3 linked regions of the Bombyx mori genome follow. The protein of the gene in region 3 interacts with the protein of the main gene of each other region in a pairwise test. Links are inferred from orthologs where the notes say so. Each region holds a gene or a part of one and is shown on either strand. Other genes may lie near its edges.

Region 1 (3,245 bases), on a different chromosome or scaffold from region 3:
TGAGTCGACTATTATCAAAGCCGGCAATGTGACTTTTGGACAATTATTGGTAAATCAGAAAAACGAATTATTGACTTTGTATTCCATTGGCAGTCACAAAACTCTTCTTAACTACATCTTAGATAAATAACAGGTTAAGTATTAACCTTTATTTAATGCAGGTTTTGAACCGTATTCTTTGAAGGAGACGATTATATTCAAATCAATCTGTATTGACATACCAATAACATTTTTTTGTCCAAATGCACAGATTGCCACCTTTGATAATAGACGACTCGTATATAACAAAATAAAATGAGGTAATACAAAATCTGCAGTAAATAAAAAATTTGCATTAGCATTCATTAGTTCTGTTCTGTGCAGATTCACAAGACATCTTACCACCAGAGTAATTGTGCAAATTATAAACTTGCAGGTTTGATTTTTTTTACATGATGAGAAGTCCCTACACGGTGGAAGTCTATTGTGAACATTTGTTAAATACATATTTCATTAGAATAATTGGTACCCACCTGCGGGATTCAAACATTGTTGCATCACTAGATAAAAATGCACTAAACATCTTATCCTTTAAAAAGTCAAGGCCATAATCCAAGGCCAAGGTCAAATTTGCCAAATAAGTAGTTAGTAGTCACAGTAATAAAACAAGTATTTTTCCATATTTAATTCAACAGATACTCCTAGAATAATTACCACATGTTATTTTTGTATCATGCCGAACACTAATATCTAATTTGAATTTGGACCCGTTTGTGGCAAAGCATTGATTTCTTTGTTTAGCCTTATTTGTTCATTTATTGCTTTCCAAGCATCTTCTTTTTCCTTCTTAGTAACAGGGCGCTTCTTTTGTTTAGCCGCTACCATCTTTTTATAAATATCAATACATTCTAGATCCACTTGATCCAGTTGCTTTTTCAGATTCAGTCTAATCATTTCTTGTTTACACAAACCAATTAAATTTTTAAGATTTCGACAATTCTCTTTACGTACAGCTGTTAATTCTGTTTGACATTTTTTAATCTCTGCTAGTATTTCATCATCAGCTGGATTAGTGAGAGGTGGTAAATCCTCTGGATCAAGTATTCCTTGTTCAACCAATTCCTTCCTCAAACACTTTTCTAATGTTAATGAATTCTTGTAGCCACTTTTAGTGGTGGAGACCATTTTTACTTTAATATCAGGTATTTCATAAGACATCACATTCTCTTCCATAAGAGCAGAGACTAATCTTTGTGTCAAAGGTCCAGTTATCATGCTTTCTGATGACTTTTCTAGCTTCTTACGAGCATGAGATGCATCTGGAGACATAGATGATTTTTGCTTATTAGGATTAGATGCATTTTGATCTTCAGCAAGATGTTCATCTGCCCAAACTTCTGAGTAATGCTTTCCTAATGGAGGGATCGGAGGTAGTGTGGTGTTACTGCTTTGAGCTAATAAGGACTCTAAAAATTTTATATCATCCAATGTTACAGGAGCACAATAAGGCTCTACTGAATTCCAAAATTTATATGGGATATTATTTTTAGGCAGTGCTAATTGTGAAAGTTCAAGTTTTACAGAGTTGTCTGAATTCACTAAATCATTAGAGTAGGTATGAGATCCTGAGGAAGCGTTTGAGAAATTTTTAAATTTAGGCACTTTTGGCTGATTGGATAATTTTGTGTAGTCTTTAGTTTTAACCACTTTGTCATCTTGAAATTTTCTTTTTACAGGATACTGTAGCTGTTTACCGGCTGCTTTGCCTTTTTTTTCTCTTTTAGATTCATTCGAATCTATGCTTTCTATTTCAGATTGAAAATATCTGCATCGTAGGGCAGTATTACATAGCAATGACTCTAATTCCAACTGTAACCCATCCAGCTCATCCATCCCAATAGGTTCATCAGCAGATCTCGCTGCAACCGCAGTAAATCGTGGCAAAAGCACTGCATTATCTTGTATTTTAATGTATGGAATTGGGCATGTCTCAACTTTGATTTTGGCAGTAGAAACAGAACCTGGAATCTTTGTTGGTTTAGTGTATGGTGTAATTCCAGGGCTTGATGGCTTTCCATTGTCTTTGTTAGCTAGTCTGCCTTTGCTATTATGATGCATCCTCTTACCCAGCATCTCGATTCAATATAATTTACCCGCCAAAATAAATAACACAAGCCCAATATTCTACGCTAATCTACATTATTTATTGCACTGAAATCTTGGAATCACTTTAAAATGTTAGACTTTAAAGTACTTAACGTTAATATCACGTCTATGACTCAACTTGTGTTGATTTTTTAAGACAAAAGCGTAATTCTTAAAGTTTCTCTAGTACAGCAAAACAAATGCCGAAATCACAGAACAAAATGGCGTTCAGAAAATAAAACTTATTTTTTATTTGATACCGTTTTTAACACAGAAGCTTTACCTTTTTTTTAAGGGATTTTATGACCTGGTAACTAAGACCTTTAAGTCATTTCTGATTTTAAATTATATTCATATTTTTATGAAAAATGATATTATGGAGTGAAATGAAATGAATATGATTAATTTGAGACATTAATCAACTGGGATGAAATTAAATGAAATGAGATGAGATGATATGGGATGAAATATAATCTCAGTAAAATGGTGGTCATTTACTAAGATTTTTTCAGTGGACTTTGTGGAGGATCCCGAGAAGTTACGTCCAGCGGCTTTGTTTCTTTTTCCCACATTTGTGCACTTTCACAGATATTAAACAGTTAATAAACCACCGTTATTACACATTTAAACCTGAAGAAACACTAAATAGACAAAATAAAACAAATCACACAACTTCATTCCTCGCGTTCCCGCCAAAAAGTCAGAAGTTTTACCTACTTTTTTTTTAAGTGATTTTACGACCTGGTAACTAAGACCTTTAAGTCATGTCTTATTTTAATTTATATTCATATTTTTATGAAAAATGATAATATGGGGTGAAATGAAATGAAAATGATTAATTTGAGACATTAATCAACTGGGATGAAATTAAATGAAATGAGATGAGATGATATGGGATGAAATATAATCTCAGTAAAATGGTGGTCATTTACTAAGATTTTTTCAGTGGACTTTGTGGAGGATCCCGAGAAGTTACGTCCAGCGGCTTTGTTTCTTTTTCCCACATTTGTGCACTTTCACAGATATTAAACAGTTAATAAACCACCGTTATTACACATTTAAACCTGAAGAAACACTAAATAGACAAAATAAAACAAATCACACAACTTCACTCCTCGCGT
Region 2 (3,662 bases), on a different chromosome or scaffold from region 3:
AATAGGTGAGCGCGATTAGTTTCTCAAGGTAACGTAGCTCCTTTTTTAACCGACTTCAAAAGAGGAGGTGGTTCTCAATTCGACTGTTTTTTTTATGTGTTACCTCATAACTTTTGATTGTCAAGCCTCAGAAGGCTACGTCTGACACTCACAGAATACAGTCACTAAAGATCCTCTGATCTCCGAGCCTGGTCTGTTTAATTCCACAGGCTACTTCAAGAAGCAGGGTTTCAGTAAAGACATTAAGCTGCCGAGGGCGATGTACCAAGGATACATAAAGGACTACGAGGGAGCAACCCTCATGCACTGCGAATTGAACCCTAGAATAGTATACACACAGTTCACTTCGGTTATTAGGATGCAGAAAGAGGTACGTCGTTACTGATATTTGAAATTATTAATGTTGTTGTGGTGGGTAGCCATCATACAACGCAATTGATGCCTGAATGTCGCTTACGACATTTTCAAGATAAGCTCGCATATATACAAGTTCCGAACAACACTATATACGGACCGTCGGTCTACCGAGCAATATCACCCGCTCGGTGAAGGGTCTTCCCATTGTCGTTAAACATCCAAAATTGTACTAGGGAGGCCTTGTTCGTTTAAGTAGCGAAAAATGATAATACACTGCATTGCACGTAATGTATTACAAACAAAAAACAGCTGGTAAATGGACTCTGTTGTGACGGTGCCCCGCCGCGCGTCTGGCTACACGTTACATTGCTGCTTGGCGACAAAGCGACATTGGCTTAGTAAATGAATATAGTTAGCATTCCGACTACGCTCTGTTTTTTTATTTATTGCTTAGATGGGTGGACGAGCTCACAGTCCACCTGCCCCATAGACATCTACAACGTAAATGCGCCACCCACCTTGAGATATAGGTTCTAAGGTCTCATGTATAGTTACAACGGCTGCCCCACCTTCAAACCGAAACGCATTACTGCTTCACGGCGGAAATAGTTTACACTTGATACCACTAACATCTGAGAATTTTAAGAAACTTAAGCTGTGTAACTTTCTTTATATACTTATAAAATATAAAAAAAAAAAACTTATAGGTATTAAGTATTTGTGTTAGGTAGGTATAGGTATCATGTATTAAGTATTTGTGTAATTAGTCCTGTGTATATCAAATAGAATCTGAAACAATAAAAATACTTTCATTTCAGATCGTAAAGAAACTTATAGATATGCGACAGAAGGAAGTTAGAAAAATTTATCCCGGCCTCACTTGCTTCAAGGAAGGTGTATGTATACATATAGACATTTCTTTAAAATTAGATTGTAGTGTTATTAATTAGAGTAATTACACTCCTTTTCCTTAAAAAGGATTACTAAGTGCGGCTTATATTAAAACAGATGCACAGTGAACTGACATGTTACCCAATACATGTGCTTAAGTTTATAATTTACTAAATAAAATAATAAGGCATAACATAGATATTGTTATGCCGGTAATAGTAACGCCATCTATGGCTGAAAAGCAGAAACGAATATCAAATGAACTAGTAACGTCCATAACGCTCGAGGAGTACAACGCCATCTATTGTCAAATGGCGGAAACGCATATGTAAAATTCTCGACTTGTGAGGGATATTCTCAATAATTCTAGGGGTGTCGTATCGACTATAAAAGCGTTGCAGAGATAACACGGAGTCAGGTAGTAATCGGAACTATTTTAAAGTAATAAAAGAAAATAAAAAAAAACGTAAACCTATTGAATTGTTTGACATACTTATTCAGAAAGTGCATTTACGTTACTCTCGACTCATAGACTGACTGAAGTGGATCGATTGACGAACTGCTGTTTCAAAGAATGCTAGGGGTTAGGGGTTTGCTTATGTGAGGTGAAGCTGAGGAGTGCGAAAGGGAGTGGGGATTCCACTTCGGATCCTCGGCCCAGAGGCCGGGGAGGACGGCACGAGCGCGATTCCCCGATCCGGTTCACCTATCTAAGTAATAAAAAAAAATCGATCAATAGAATCTTTACTGGTGGTAGGACCTCTTGAGAGTCCGCGCGGGTAGGTACCACCACCCCGCCTATTTCTGCTGTGAAGCAGTAATGCGCTTCGGTTTGAAGGGTGGGGCAGCTGTTGTAACTATACTTGAGACCTTAGAACTTATATCTCAAGGTGGGTGGCGCATTTACTTTGTAGTTGTCTATGGACTCTGGTAACCACTTAACACCAGGTGGTCTGTGAGCTCAACCACTAAGAATTTAGTTTCGTCGTGTATTGTTCTAGGTCCGCAGCCTCCCCCCGGAGTGCATCCCCGGGGCGCGCGAGGCAGGGTGGCGCGCCCCCCCGCCCCCGCACGACCCCGACCCCGACCCCGTCACCCTGCGGAACGTGCTGCACGCAGTCAGTATATGCACGTCACTATAGACACCACCACCGTGGACATCACGAGGCGGAAATAATACTCGTCCCAAAAAAATAGACTCTTCATTTAAAAATCTGTATATAAATAGGCAAAGACATAACAGTCAATCGCCTTATTCTTCTTTAACCCTTTGACTGCCATGTTTGTCGATTTCTGTTACTAAGGCGCCGGAATCGAAAGCGAATCTGAAGATACTGAGAATGAATCTTATTTCTAAGAGACTTAAGAGAACTAAAACATACATTAACAAACAAAAGAAGGCAAAGTTAGGCAATCTCCAGGTGCTTAGTAACAGATATTGACTTAAGTACTTCAGTGCGAAGGGTTAATAGTACTGACGTATTTTCCGACTTTAAAAAAACGAAGAGTTTCTCAATTCGACTGTATTCTTTTTGTATGCGTTACCTTATTTCTTAGTAACTATTGGCGAGATATAAGGTTATAATTTTAAAACGAAAGAAAATGTAATGATCGTTAATGTAATCTAAGTCTGAGGTATCAAGGCCTAAGGTTGAATTTCGATTGATTGTCAATAACGTTTTAGGTAAAGAACCACGCGACGGCCTGGCCGTTCCTGAAGCCGGTCGACAAGGCGGAGGTGCCGGACTACTACGATCACATCAAGTATCCGATGGGTGAGTCTATCTTTTTTTAGTGCTCTTATAGGCAGACTAGCTGTACCCGTCCGCTTCGCTGGGCATTTAAAATTAACATTATTATTTCTCACCCCCACAAACATTCTCATCATGAACGCCCCCGCAACTGGTGTAGGGAGTCCAACACTCATATAAATATTAGCCTATCCATTAAGTACATGTATTTTCTACATGGATACTAAGTTTTAAGTCGATCGGATGCATGGTTCAGTAGTTATAACGGAACATCCATAAAAACTACTGTAGATTTATATATTGTATGTGTGTGAGTATGTGTTTATCTTTGTGTTGCAAGACTTGCGCACGATGGGGGAACGTCTCAAAGCGCGCTACTACGTGTCCAAGCGGCTGTTCATAGCGGACATGACCCGGATATTCAACAACTGCAGACTCTACAACTCGCCCGACACCGACTACTACAGGTGCGATGAACTTTAATACTTATGTACCATTGCTGAAGTCCATGGGCGACGGTAACCACTCACCATCAGGCGGGCCGTATGCTCCTCTGCTTACAAGGGCAATAAAAATAAACTAGTAACCGCGAGGGGTTAAGGGCTAGCTTCACCAAACTTGTAGCCGATGGGCTCAGCCTAGGACACTTTGCTAACATTGGCC
Region 3 (3,762 bases):
ACATACTTTTTTTCTTTGGCAAGTTTTCCTAGGGTCTTCTGTTTATTCCTCTGATTGTTGAAGAAGACAGACACTAACTGGAAATCTCTAACTAATCTTTTTCGTCTCGTTCTCTCTCTCAGTCTTCTGATGTATATATCAACTTGTGATAGCTTTAGTGCTATAAAAAATAAAAAAAACGGGATATGTCATTTTTTATTTATTATATATATCTTATATGTATTTAACTAAGCTATGAGACGTTTTAAAATCATAAAATAGATATACAGATCTTATAAAGCTTTTAGTCTAGCCTGTTCATAATATGTATCAAATAAGAGACGTCTCAGAGTGAATAATTCATATGTAAATTTCAAGCTCAAGGTCGGCAGTCTATCAGTCATTATTATGATTTTTTTAAAAGGATATTATTATATTAAAAACCACATATTTTATCAACCAAAAACCACTTATCTATTGAATATATATCTATATATAACCTACCAACATCTAATTCATCATCTTCTGGATTTAATGATAATGTTGAGATCAACTGCTCTGCCTCATGATCATGTTCCTGAAATTTCGACACTTTGTAGAACAATATTTTAATTTATTATAGTAAATAGTACAAAAAATTCATTCTTACTCTTTCAAAATCATCTCTATTTGGCATATACCCAAGTTGTGCTGCTTCGTCTACTGTTATAGCTAGGTTTGGTAGTCGAGACACTGCAGTTGGACCAAGTGGGCCATCATCTTTATCTGCACAATGTAGTGATGGGCGAGATGTACTTTCAATATTGCCCCATGTTGCTTTGCCTATGGTGCCTTCCAGGTACCTAGTAATGTATTCATCTTTTGCTTCTGTAATTGAAATTTATGTTTATTTGTTATTATTATTTATTTGTCTTTCTTATAACAATGATGTAAATGAAAGGATTTGATTCGAGCCCTACACCCCAGCAGAGGGTAATAGGAAAGAACGATGATTATGATTATTATTTATTTTTATTATTATATTTAATTAATAAATTTATATATAGTATGATAATTCTTTGGTAATCTTTCTAAAGTTCAGCACTACTGTACCACTGCCACCATGTGAAGCAGAACCTCCTTTGCTCTACCTATAGTCGCAGTTCAGTATATTTGTTTACAATGCTTCCATCGCTGTTACAGGTTTAGGAAGGAGTTTAGAAGAGTGCAGAGGTCTTAAAGAATCTGAGATTGACATGGTCAGTCCTTTTGCGGTGTCAATTTTTAGAAGTATTCTCAACAGATTTAAATAATTACTTCTCACCCTATTTATTATTTTTAGTACTGGTGTTAAATCGTTGATTTGAACTTATGGGATGATTTATTTCCAAATTATTCTTTTTTACTTGTGAAAATAAAGGATATGCATCATGTAAATTTAATCCCAACAAAATTTATTTAATGTAAATGTTTAATATATATTTCTTATTCTTGTTTAATATATATTTTGAGCTTCCATAGCCCATGAAAAAATCCTGTCTTAACATTGCATGTGGTGAGTTTATATACATTATTGAATGGTTGTGACCATGCTGTCACCATTAAATATGCAAAGTTACTATATCAAGGGAGTAAAAGGCTATTCGGTTTAAATGACATTTTTGACAACTTTACAGGAAGGCCATTCAAAGCTTAAAAATTGGAAAAAATATCATAACCAAAAAACGTCTTCAGCTATTTGAATGGAGTAAACGTAAATTGAAATTCAACTAAAAACATCGAACTGTTGATACCAAGTATACCTTTAATTACTAAGGTAATGTACGTTATACCAAATAGCATTTCACCCCTCGATATTATAAAACTGAGACTTAGTAATCATGCCTAAAGGTGGCTAGTAACATTTACGTAGTTGAAATCTCTTGAATCCCGTAACCACCTAACAACAACAGGTAGACGGTAAGCACGTCTACCCAAATATAAAAGCTGAAGCTTTAAAAAAAATTGAAATTCGAAATATTCACCATATTTTATTCAACAATGTTTTTTCGTTGCAGAAGCTATTTTTGAAAATTGTTATTGCATTTAGATAAAAAGTTACAAATAATAGTATGCATATACTAGGTATTCTTTGCCAAGGCATGCAATGTATGCTGTTTGATGCCAATGTTGAAAAATGAACCGAAGCACAGTGCTAAGACAGCAGATTACTGAGTAGCTTATATCATTAAATTACCTTCAGGAGTTCTTGTTTCAATATGTTTTGCTATATCCTCCCAGTTACCAAAGCCGAATTGTTCTATGGCATCTAATAATCTTACTTCTTCGTTAGCTGACCAGCTACTACGTCCTAAAAATATTCCAAAAGCCCCAGAGTCCTGGAAAAATAGAACACTCTTGAAAATCTATTTACTTTCTGTAATAGTATTACAGTAGTCGTTTATAAAGTGCTTACCACAAACTGATATGAATGATCGTTTTTGTGCTGTCCGATTTCAGCACCAAGAGAAAAACACTGAAAATGCATTTTATTGCATATTAATTTCTAAGTGACAATTTTAAATTTTGCGCCAAAACTATCAACAAAAATGGCAGTATCAACTACTTTACCTGCAAACAAATATCAAAATCAACACATTCAGTACATTTAACTCTTACGCCGTTTATTTCCTCTTGACAATATGTACAATTATATTTAGCGTAAAGATCTGAAAATGACATGATTTTTATTACAGTGAAAACAAACTTTAAACTTGTACGTTGGCAGGCTTCAGATTAGCGCACAAATTTCCAAAGCCATTTTACGTTTTTTATTCCCAAACATTTTGAGTTACCAGAGTAATAAAACATATTTTGTAAAATATTTTATTTCCTAAAACTTAACTACGCATTCTAACATGTTGAATAGATTTGAATCTACTATGTATTTGAAAATTAATTTGGTAGCGCAAGATTGGAGTAACACTACCCTATCCGGTCATCGGCGAGAAAATTAACCCACAGACACAGTTCACCGAGTTTCTCGCCGGATCTTCACAGTGGGTCGCGTTTCCGATCCGGTAGTAGATTCTGCGAAGCACTGCTCTTGCTAGGGTTAGTGTTAGCAAAATCGTCAGGTTTGAGCCCCGTGAGCTCACCTACTTGTTAGGTTTGACTGACATAGCCTCTCAAGGCTATCGGCTTAGGTAGAAAAAAAAACTACCCTATCGCTTCCCGTTGTTGTCACAAAATACAACTAAGAAAACTGAACAATGAACGATGCACAGAAATAATAAACCAATATAGGTCTTGCGATCGACAAGAGGCTTATATTAGTGTATTTCTTCCATGAAACCATCATGCATTCTAGTTTGAAGTGTGAGACAGTTTTTACAGTTACAGTTTACAGACAGTTCGACAAAATCAAAATCCTGTTTTGTTTGTAATTTAATGCTCTCATTTAGAAAACCGTATTACTGTGTGAAAAAGATTTTTAACGTTAAGCTAAGACGCATCATTCCTGTCGAATGTCTGATAAGACGTATTTTTACTACAATATCTCTTCCTAACGCAAGTATAGAAAAGGACGGTGATATTAAAATTCACGATGTACAGTATAATTTGCAAATTAATAGTCGAACTTACCAGGCAACCATAGACGTAAAATATAGACCTAAGCTAAATTTGAACCAGGAAACTGTTACTAGTCTTACAAATAGTGATAATTCCAATGAAATTCGTTAATTTCTAGTTTAAAAGCAGCTCTCTTATAATACTGCATATTAATCTGTGATAGTAACATGCTCCTTATGAGCGTTGCTGTAA

What was found.
Region 1: the proteins of transcriptional adapter 2B (region 3) and transcriptional adaptor 3 interact in a two-hybrid assay, tested with the Drosophila melanogaster proteins (4 studies listed by BioGRID). The link is inferred for Bombyx mori from reciprocal best matches to the Drosophila melanogaster genes Ada2b and Ada3.
Region 2: the proteins of transcriptional adapter 2B (region 3) and histone acetyltransferase KAT2A interact in a two-hybrid assay, tested with the Drosophila melanogaster proteins (4 studies listed by BioGRID). The link is inferred for Bombyx mori from reciprocal best matches to the Drosophila melanogaster genes Ada2b and Gcn5.

What each region holds. Positions count from the first base shown.
Region 1 is NC_085109.1:9,156,003-9,159,247, forward strand, and holds transcriptional adaptor 3, read right to left. Parts: upstream 2,346-3,245; 5' UTR 2,113-2,345; coding exon 730-2,112; 3' UTR 650-729; downstream 1-649.
Region 2 is NC_085120.1:4,777,035-4,780,696, reverse strand, and holds part of histone acetyltransferase KAT2A, read left to right. Parts: coding exon 1-5; intron 6-209; coding exon 210-370; intron 371-1,175; coding exon 1,176-1,253; intron 1,254-2,249; coding exon 2,250-2,366; intron 2,367-2,932; coding exon 2,933-3,023; intron 3,024-3,339; coding exon 3,340-3,466; intron 3,467-3,662.
Region 3 is NC_085131.1:6,658,796-6,662,557, forward strand, and holds the start of transcriptional adapter 2B, read right to left. Parts: upstream 2,786-3,762; 5' UTR 2,680-2,785; coding exon 2,569-2,679; intron 2,474-2,568; coding exon 2,414-2,473; intron 2,337-2,413; coding exon 2,195-2,336; intron 1,458-2,194; exon of another isoform or gene 847-1,457; coding exon 629-846; exon of another isoform or gene 557-628; coding exon 484-556; exon of another isoform or gene 161-483; coding exon 7-160; exon of another isoform or gene 1-6. UniProt on the Drosophila melanogaster protein: Component of several Gcn5-containing histone acetyltransferase complexes that regulate nucleosome organization; involved in acetylation of histone H3, particularly on Lys-10 (H3K9ac) and Lys-15 (H3K14ac).